2 linked regions of the Neurospora crassa OR74A genome follow. The protein of the gene in region 1 purifies or fractionates together with the protein of each later gene. This does not show direct contact. Links are inferred from orthologs where the notes say so. Each region holds a gene or a part of one and is shown on either strand. Other genes may lie near its edges.

Evidence for each region.
Region 2: the proteins of NCU04273 (region 1) and NCU07547 purify together in Saccharomyces cerevisiae (affinity purification with mass spectrometry; 3 studies listed by BioGRID, with this or other methods). This does not show direct contact. The link is inferred for Neurospora crassa OR74A from reciprocal best matches to the Saccharomyces cerevisiae genes NOP13 and MRT4.

Annotation. Positions count from the first base shown.
Region 1 is NC_026505.1:5,457,054-5,460,482, forward strand, and holds NCU04273 (RNA-binding protein), read right to left. Parts: upstream 2,438-3,429; 5' UTR 2,254-2,437; coding exon 787-2,253; 3' UTR 569-786; downstream 1-568.
Region 2 is NC_026503.1:4,412,021-4,415,584, forward strand, and holds NCU07547 (mRNA turnover protein MRT4), read right to left. Parts: upstream 2,008-3,564; 5' UTR 1,773-2,007; coding exon 1,582-1,772; intron 1,488-1,581; coding exon 920-1,487; 3' UTR 525-919; downstream 1-524. UniProt on the Saccharomyces cerevisiae protein: Component of the ribosome assembly machinery. Nuclear paralog of the ribosomal protein P0, it binds pre-60S subunits at an early stage of assembly in the nucleolus, and is replaced by P0 in cytoplasmic pre-60S subunits and mature 80S ribosomes.

The sequences.
Region 1 (3,429 bases):
TTGGGTTGCTCGGGTCAATTGATGGGTGCTTTAAATTGCTAGTTTTTTTTTTGCTTTTGTCAACGTAAGCTCGTTGTTATGGAAATTTCCCCTCTCCTACTACTGTCTTCTGTTTAGTCTGTGCTTCATGTGATAAGTCCCAAAGAACAAGTGTCTAGAGAGAAATCAAGGGATTACCATAGTCGACGGCTCTGGCGTGAAGTGTACTCGGTGTCGTTGCTTTACACTACACTGCTGCGCATTGATCTCTTCTTCGGATGAAACTGGCAATTCACCACTTTATAATCTAGAGTAGACCTCACTTCTCTTGTAACTCGTTACGGCCACTCAGATTGTGCTCAATAGCTAGATTGTGTTAAAACAGATGTTCCGTCATGAAATTCTTGGTCCTTTTCGATCGCCGGCCGTAAACAACACGACCGTGCATACATATGGAGGCATGGATGTATTTTGAGTAATCTCCTTGGAGCGTCATGTTTTGCAGAGAGATGAAAGACTGTGTTAGCAAACCAGCAAGACAGAACGTAGAACACACTTGCGATCGTCACGATGTGCATATAGGTATGAGGTGAAGCGCAAATTCGATTCCTCTAGCCGTCTAAGCCCACACAACATGGAAACAAGATAGGTATATAAGACACAACCTTAAAACAAGACAACATTAAGTTACCACCGGACACACTGAACCGTGGCGACATGATTTTGAACCCATATTTTTTCTCTCTCTTCCGCCGAACCCAAGAAAAAAAAAAGCCCGGACCAGATAGACAGGACACTCGTCCTATTTTACTCAAAGGTAGTCTTCTTGCCCTGGTGAGCAACAGGCGCACCAGTAAGTCTGGCAACACTGATATCCTGAGCCATCTTGATTTGACCATTACCGCCTTCTTCCCTCTTCTTGTAAGGAACCCTCTGTGGCCTCTCACCACCGTCTTGTCCTTGCTTCTTGCCGCCCGCAGCGCCCTTGCCTCGGAACCGCTTGTCGTATCTCGTCTTGTCGTCCTCGGCCAACTCGATCTTGAGGGTGCGGCCATGTAGCTGGTTGACCCACCACTTGCGGGTCTTTATCCTCTTTTCCGTTTCCTTCTTTTCCTTTGTCTTTTCCGCGTCGGCGTTGTCACCGTCGGCTGCGGCTTCGGCTTCGGCTTTTTGGTCTTCATCCATAAAGTCCTCCAACTCGGGAATCTCCTCGCGGATCTTGACGAACCCCTTGACCGCCCACTGCGCGGCTTCGCCCTCCTCAAAGTTCACCCACCCGTACCCCTTGCACTTGCCGCTGTCCTCGAACGTGGCCACCTTGACCCACCGGATGGCGCCGCACTTGTCAAAGTGGTTGCGCAAGTCGTCCTCGGTGGTGTCGAACGAGAGGTTGCCGACAAAGATCTTGGTTGAGCCGGCGAACTTGCCGCCTACTAGCGCCTCGTCCTTCTTTCCACCAGCAGCGCCCTTGGCATCCTCATCGTCTTCCTTCTTCTTCTCCGGCCGTCCCTCGAACGACGTCGCGTCCTTGATCAACAGCTTGCGCTTGTACCACTCGGTCTCGCTGAGAGCAATGGCGGCGACCTTGGTGGCCAGCGAATCAAAGTCGACGTAGGCGAAACCGCGGTTCTCGGGCTTCTCCTTCTTGGGCTGGCCGGGCTGCGCCTTGGCCGTGGGCATGTGCACGCGCGTGATGGACTCGGGCGTGATGGAGCCGCCGCTGTTGTCGACGAGCCATTGCTTCAGTTCGCTCTTGGTGACGGTGAAGCGCAGGTTGCCGATCCAGACGCCGTGGGGGGACCGTTCCTTCTTTTCCTTCTTCTTTTTCTTGTCCTTGTCGCCGTCCTTTCCGGTGGCGGTTTCGTTATCCGAGTTGTCGTCGGAGTCATCACCCTTGTCGGAGGAGGGCTTGGTAGGGAGGGTCTTGCCCTTCTTGAGCAGACGCTTGGCTTTCTTGGAGGGAGGCTCGGGGGCGGTGACGTCGATTTCGATTTCGGTGAGCTCGGCCTTGCGCTTCTTGGAAGATTTCTTGGGTTTCTCATCGGAGGAGGCGGCGGCGGCATCGGCATCGGCGGTGGTGTCCATGGTGTCGACAGTCTCGGCGGACTCGGCAGGCTCCTCTGTGGCCTTGCGCTTCTTGGAGGATTTATCCTTCTTCTCCTTCTTTTCTTTCTTAGACTTCTTCTCGGAAACGAAATCGGCGGTGGTGTCCATGGCGTCGACGGGAGCGGAGTCCTGCGCGGAGGCGGTTTCGAGGTCTTTTGTTGCTGCCATTCTGGCTGGCTTTAGCGTATCGATCGAGATGGTGTCAATAGGCAAGGGAAGAAAAGTGTTGGAAATAGCAATAAAATCAAGGGTGTTGATTCCTCGAATTTGCAATGTCTACAGAAGGAGGACAGCCGCGCATGGACGCTGAGATTCCCCAATTGCTGGCAGCACAAGATTTTGGAAAATTTACTTTGCGATAAGCGAAGCGATAAGGAAGGGGTCACTGTTCCTCGCTCCAGTTGCGGGTCCGGAGCTTGGCTTGGTCGGGTCTCCATCGCGCAAAATGCGGGGGAGCGGGCGGGACCTACCTTTCAACCTCCACTTTCGGGTTCTCCACTCATACCCCTCTGAATCTCGTGCCAAATTTGCAAAGAGCCGCCATCTTTTCAGATCTCCCGCCGTCATTTCATGATGGGACTTGCCCTTTGCATGATTGCCCCCTTTTTAATGCGATGTCTATGGGCCCTATCTTATAGTGTCAAACGTGTCTTGCTCCGATGACAGGTCTTGAAGTGCAGCCGTACTTGGGTCGGCAAGGTAGGTACGAGACCAGCGTGCAGAATTTCGGTACTCATCAACTGGAGTATGGTACAGTACACGTACTTTTGTACATTGGTCACAAATGGATGGAATATTTCCCCGACAATGACAGCCCACAGCACCACGCAATGGGCCAAATGTAGCCACGAGCACAAGTCGATGATGCCAATATGCTGACTTGGCCCCTCTTCCACTTGATCAATGCCAGGATGTCCCTTGCCATGAATAATAGCTCACGGTGTAGAGTACCTGTAGTAGACACGTCTGCCAAACTCATCTATATTGAGCAGAGTACTTGTTGGGTTCTTGAAAGACGGTTGGACATATTACTTTGCAGGGAGTCTCTTAAGTCCACATAGCAACCCTGAGCTATACAAAGCTGGACAGTCACTTCCGATGGGAAGCAGAAGCCCCATTCAACTCCAGGTCAGTCACTCCCAATGAAAGGGTATCAGATCCTTCGGAAGTTGTTCCAGAGTGATGGCCATTAAAGTCCCGCAGAATCGAAACGGAAACGACATGAGCGTGTTGCTGACGTTGCTCGAATCAACCCCCCGAAGCTTTGATCTGGATCGAGCGAATCGTCAAGGGAGCTGATCGGGTGGGCAGGTGGGCCACGCGGCCTCAATGTCGGTCCATCAT
Region 2 (3,564 bases), on another chromosome or scaffold:
GTTTGCTTGTTGGAGGAGGGCGGGTGGGAGATGGGGGGTTATACATCAGCCTTTTGCATATCCTAAAGACTGAATGAATTTGACCTGGTTTCATTTCGCTTTTGAGCGAGAAGAAGAAGAAGAAGAGGAAGAAACTTGGTGTCCGATGTCAACATGGAAAGGGCCTTGAAAAACTATTCTAGAATTGGTAAGTTTGTGTAGTGGAATGCGGAGATGATGATGATGATGCATGTCAGGTTCGAAAATTGTATTGCCTTCTTACATCTCTGCTAGCTCTTCGAGCACTCTGTGGTTGGGTTATTCTACTCTTTCAATTCTTATTTTTGACGTTTGAGGAAAATTGTCATAGGGCTTGGTGGTTCCGTGATATTGCAAGTAAATACTGCGCACATTCGAGTTTTGTTGTATAGACACAACTTTGTCCTTCTCTTTGGTAATGGTTTGGCGGACTTGATCATTCGTTATACCAGCCGTGCCACAACGATGAACATCACAAGAAGTCAGCATCACATACAGGACATTGTCTTTGAAGCCTTTTTCTATTCGTGAGCCTTTGCCCCCTCCTATCTCTTAAGACGCCTGGTAATACATAAACTAAGATGACCGGTTGTTTTATGTTCCCCAAAAGAAGAAGTTCCATACAAAGATGGTATCATCGTAAACCTTTCCCTATGTAAAAACACGGAAACAAGCCAAGTAGTAAAAAAACGAGAAATAATGACGTTTGCAAAAATTTTGACCGGTCCCCTCCCCACACCCTCTTGTTGGGTCCCTCGATGTTGCGTTATTGTAAGTTGAAGGGAGTTCCCCTTCTCGTACGGCAGATTTCTTGATATCATGAACCTTTCCAACCGCTTCGTCAAGTGCAACCACATACACACCGTCCCTCTTTTCAGGGTATCATTCATGAACACATCCCTTACTCGTCATCCTCCTCCATCTCCTCAGCACCAGCCTCACCAGGCTTCTCCAACTCGGTAACCTCCCCGCTCGCCGCGCTCCAGTAGGCCAGCAGCTTGACACGGAACTCACTCAAGCAGATGCTGAACAGCTTCAGCAGCCTCGTCTGCCTGGAATCCAGCGTCTCGCCCTCCTTGCAGATAACGTAATCGTCACCCTCGCCGGCCTCGTCACCCAGGCAGACCTTGCCCTTGACCATGCGGGTGGGCATGCCCAGGCGGCGGAGCTCGGGCTCGAGCGTGTGGGAGACGGGCACGTCGTGCTCGGCGGGGACCTCGCCACCGGTGGAGTACAAGGGACCGGAGGGGATGGTGATGGTTCGCGTGGCGACGGAGCCGGCGCGCGCAAAGTCGACTTGTGTCAGGTTGACGAAGTAGTCCTTGATTTCCGAGGGGTCGCGGTTGGTGAAGATGAGGCCGACGGAGCCGGACAGGTACTTGGAGAGCTTGTCGAGCCCGTCGGCTTGGGCGTCCTCGGGGGTGGTGCCGAGAGCGCGGGCGGTGAGCTTGGTCTTGCCGAAGAAGATGCTGTAGCACGGGAAGAAGAAGTGTTAGTCAATGATTGCGATTGCGATTGGATTCGGCTACTGAGTAGGAAGAAGGTGGACAATAACAAACATACCGGCAGTCGTTCAGCTCCTTTCTGACATCCTTCAGGTAGTTGTTGCGCATGTTATCGATGCTGAAGACGAAGCAGTGCTGGTAGTTGGGGATGCATTCTCGGATGTTCTCAAAGAGCTTCTCCTTTTGTTCGCGGTTCTTCTTGGTGACCTGGGTGAGGTTGTACACCTTCGCTCTCTTGGACTTGGGCATCTTGACGGTATGTGTGGGTGGTTATGGATGTAAAGATTACAAGAGATGAAGCGCACAATAACAATGCCGATACAGAGACAGAACTATGGTGGCAAAGAAAAGATGGTTGTTGGTGGTGTAGATTGGTTTTGGTTATGACAACTACCCAAATGAATCAAGAGTGGAAGTGGAATGGAAGGATCAGAATCACCAATTGATACGCAGACAGACGGGACGGGAGCCTCTGCCGTGCCGGCGGTGCTGTGGTGCAGTCGCCTATCGCTGACTTTTGTTTTTTTTCTGCCGCGCGAAACTTTTGGGCGGTGAGCCATTGATAGGCTTTCCCCCACAATTGATTTTGGCAGGCCCCACCCAAATGGACTGCGGCCAGCCTACCCCACCTTGAACTGTGCAGCCAGCATCCCTGTTGTTGTGTTTCCCCTGGTGTATCGACGTTGTTTGGAGATTCGTTTTTGATCGTTTCCCTCCCAACTTTTGACATTTGCTTGACTTCTTCTATCGATAATCACGATAGACATGAATTGCACTTATGTTGCTTTCCTTTTCCATGTCTCCAACAAACAATCATAGGTCTAATGGAAACGCGCACCTCGATAGTCGACAACTCACAAGACTCATCCTCTGTTGTCCTCGGGCCTATGTAGCTCGCCTGCAGTCATTTGCGCCTGTTGCTTGGACACCAAAGCCCTTCCTGAAGAGGTTGACCTGGGAATTACCATATCGAAAGCATTCAAACAAGTTCCGTGGATTCAGCTCACTTATCCCGGCAAATTGGACAGTGTGAAAACAGCGCGTGTTCGGTTAACCTTCGCCATGGGCTCACTTCCTCAGGTTTCACGAATGATGACTCCCTCCCGTTTGTCTGACGGATATACGGGAGAATGTGTGAGCTAATCTGGAGCAACCGGTATTGGCGTTTCGTCCCGCGGCTTCACAACGACGGTCAGGCCGTTGAAGACAAGACACCCGGTGGTTGCCATCAAACGACACGCCCTTGGACAGTACACGAATGTCAAGACGAAAAGAAGACGAGCCCCTCCTTTGATGTCAAGTGATGCTGCCAAGGGCACCTGAATTCATTGCGTGAGAAGATGAGATGCTGTCGGGAACGCAACCGGCCACCGATGGACATGATGATTTGTCGCAGTGTGATGTCAAGCCAAGTGTAGGGCTTAGTGCAAATCCGGGGAACGGGTTAAAACAACATAGGTACGTACCGACTTGAACGGCACGCAGCTAATGAAAAGTGTCTTGGTTTGGCCGATAAGGTAAGACAATAGATAAACAAGCTCGCACTTGGTGCGCCAATCGGTCGTTTCCTCTCGGATTTAAGACTGAGAAGAGTTTGGAAGCTGCCAGAGAACTAAAGTCCCCCCAATCTTGACGGCGAGAGGTCTTTTTGATCGGTCGGTGGGTTGCACGCCGTGTGAGCCCAGCCACGCGGCAACCGCAATTTTGCCTATCCCTTTTTACCATAAGCCGCCCCAATTCGACTGCCGGATCCTCACTTGTGTTGCGTGAGTCATTCGCCGCGAAAACGAAAAGCTTTTACATAGTCTAAAGGTATACTGGTAGTGTACATACACTACAGAACCGGCGGGGTGGGGTTCAGATTAAAGTTGAAGTTGAACAGAGATTGGAGGCGCAGAACCATGTCAACAACAAGGTCCCCATGCCGGTGGCCTGGACCGTTTGGCCGATTGTTTGCTGGGCATGGAAAAGGCATCGGCCAGCAATGGGGACCGAACACCGACGATCCAGCAGACGGCAGCTTCTGGAATGTTTACAGCCA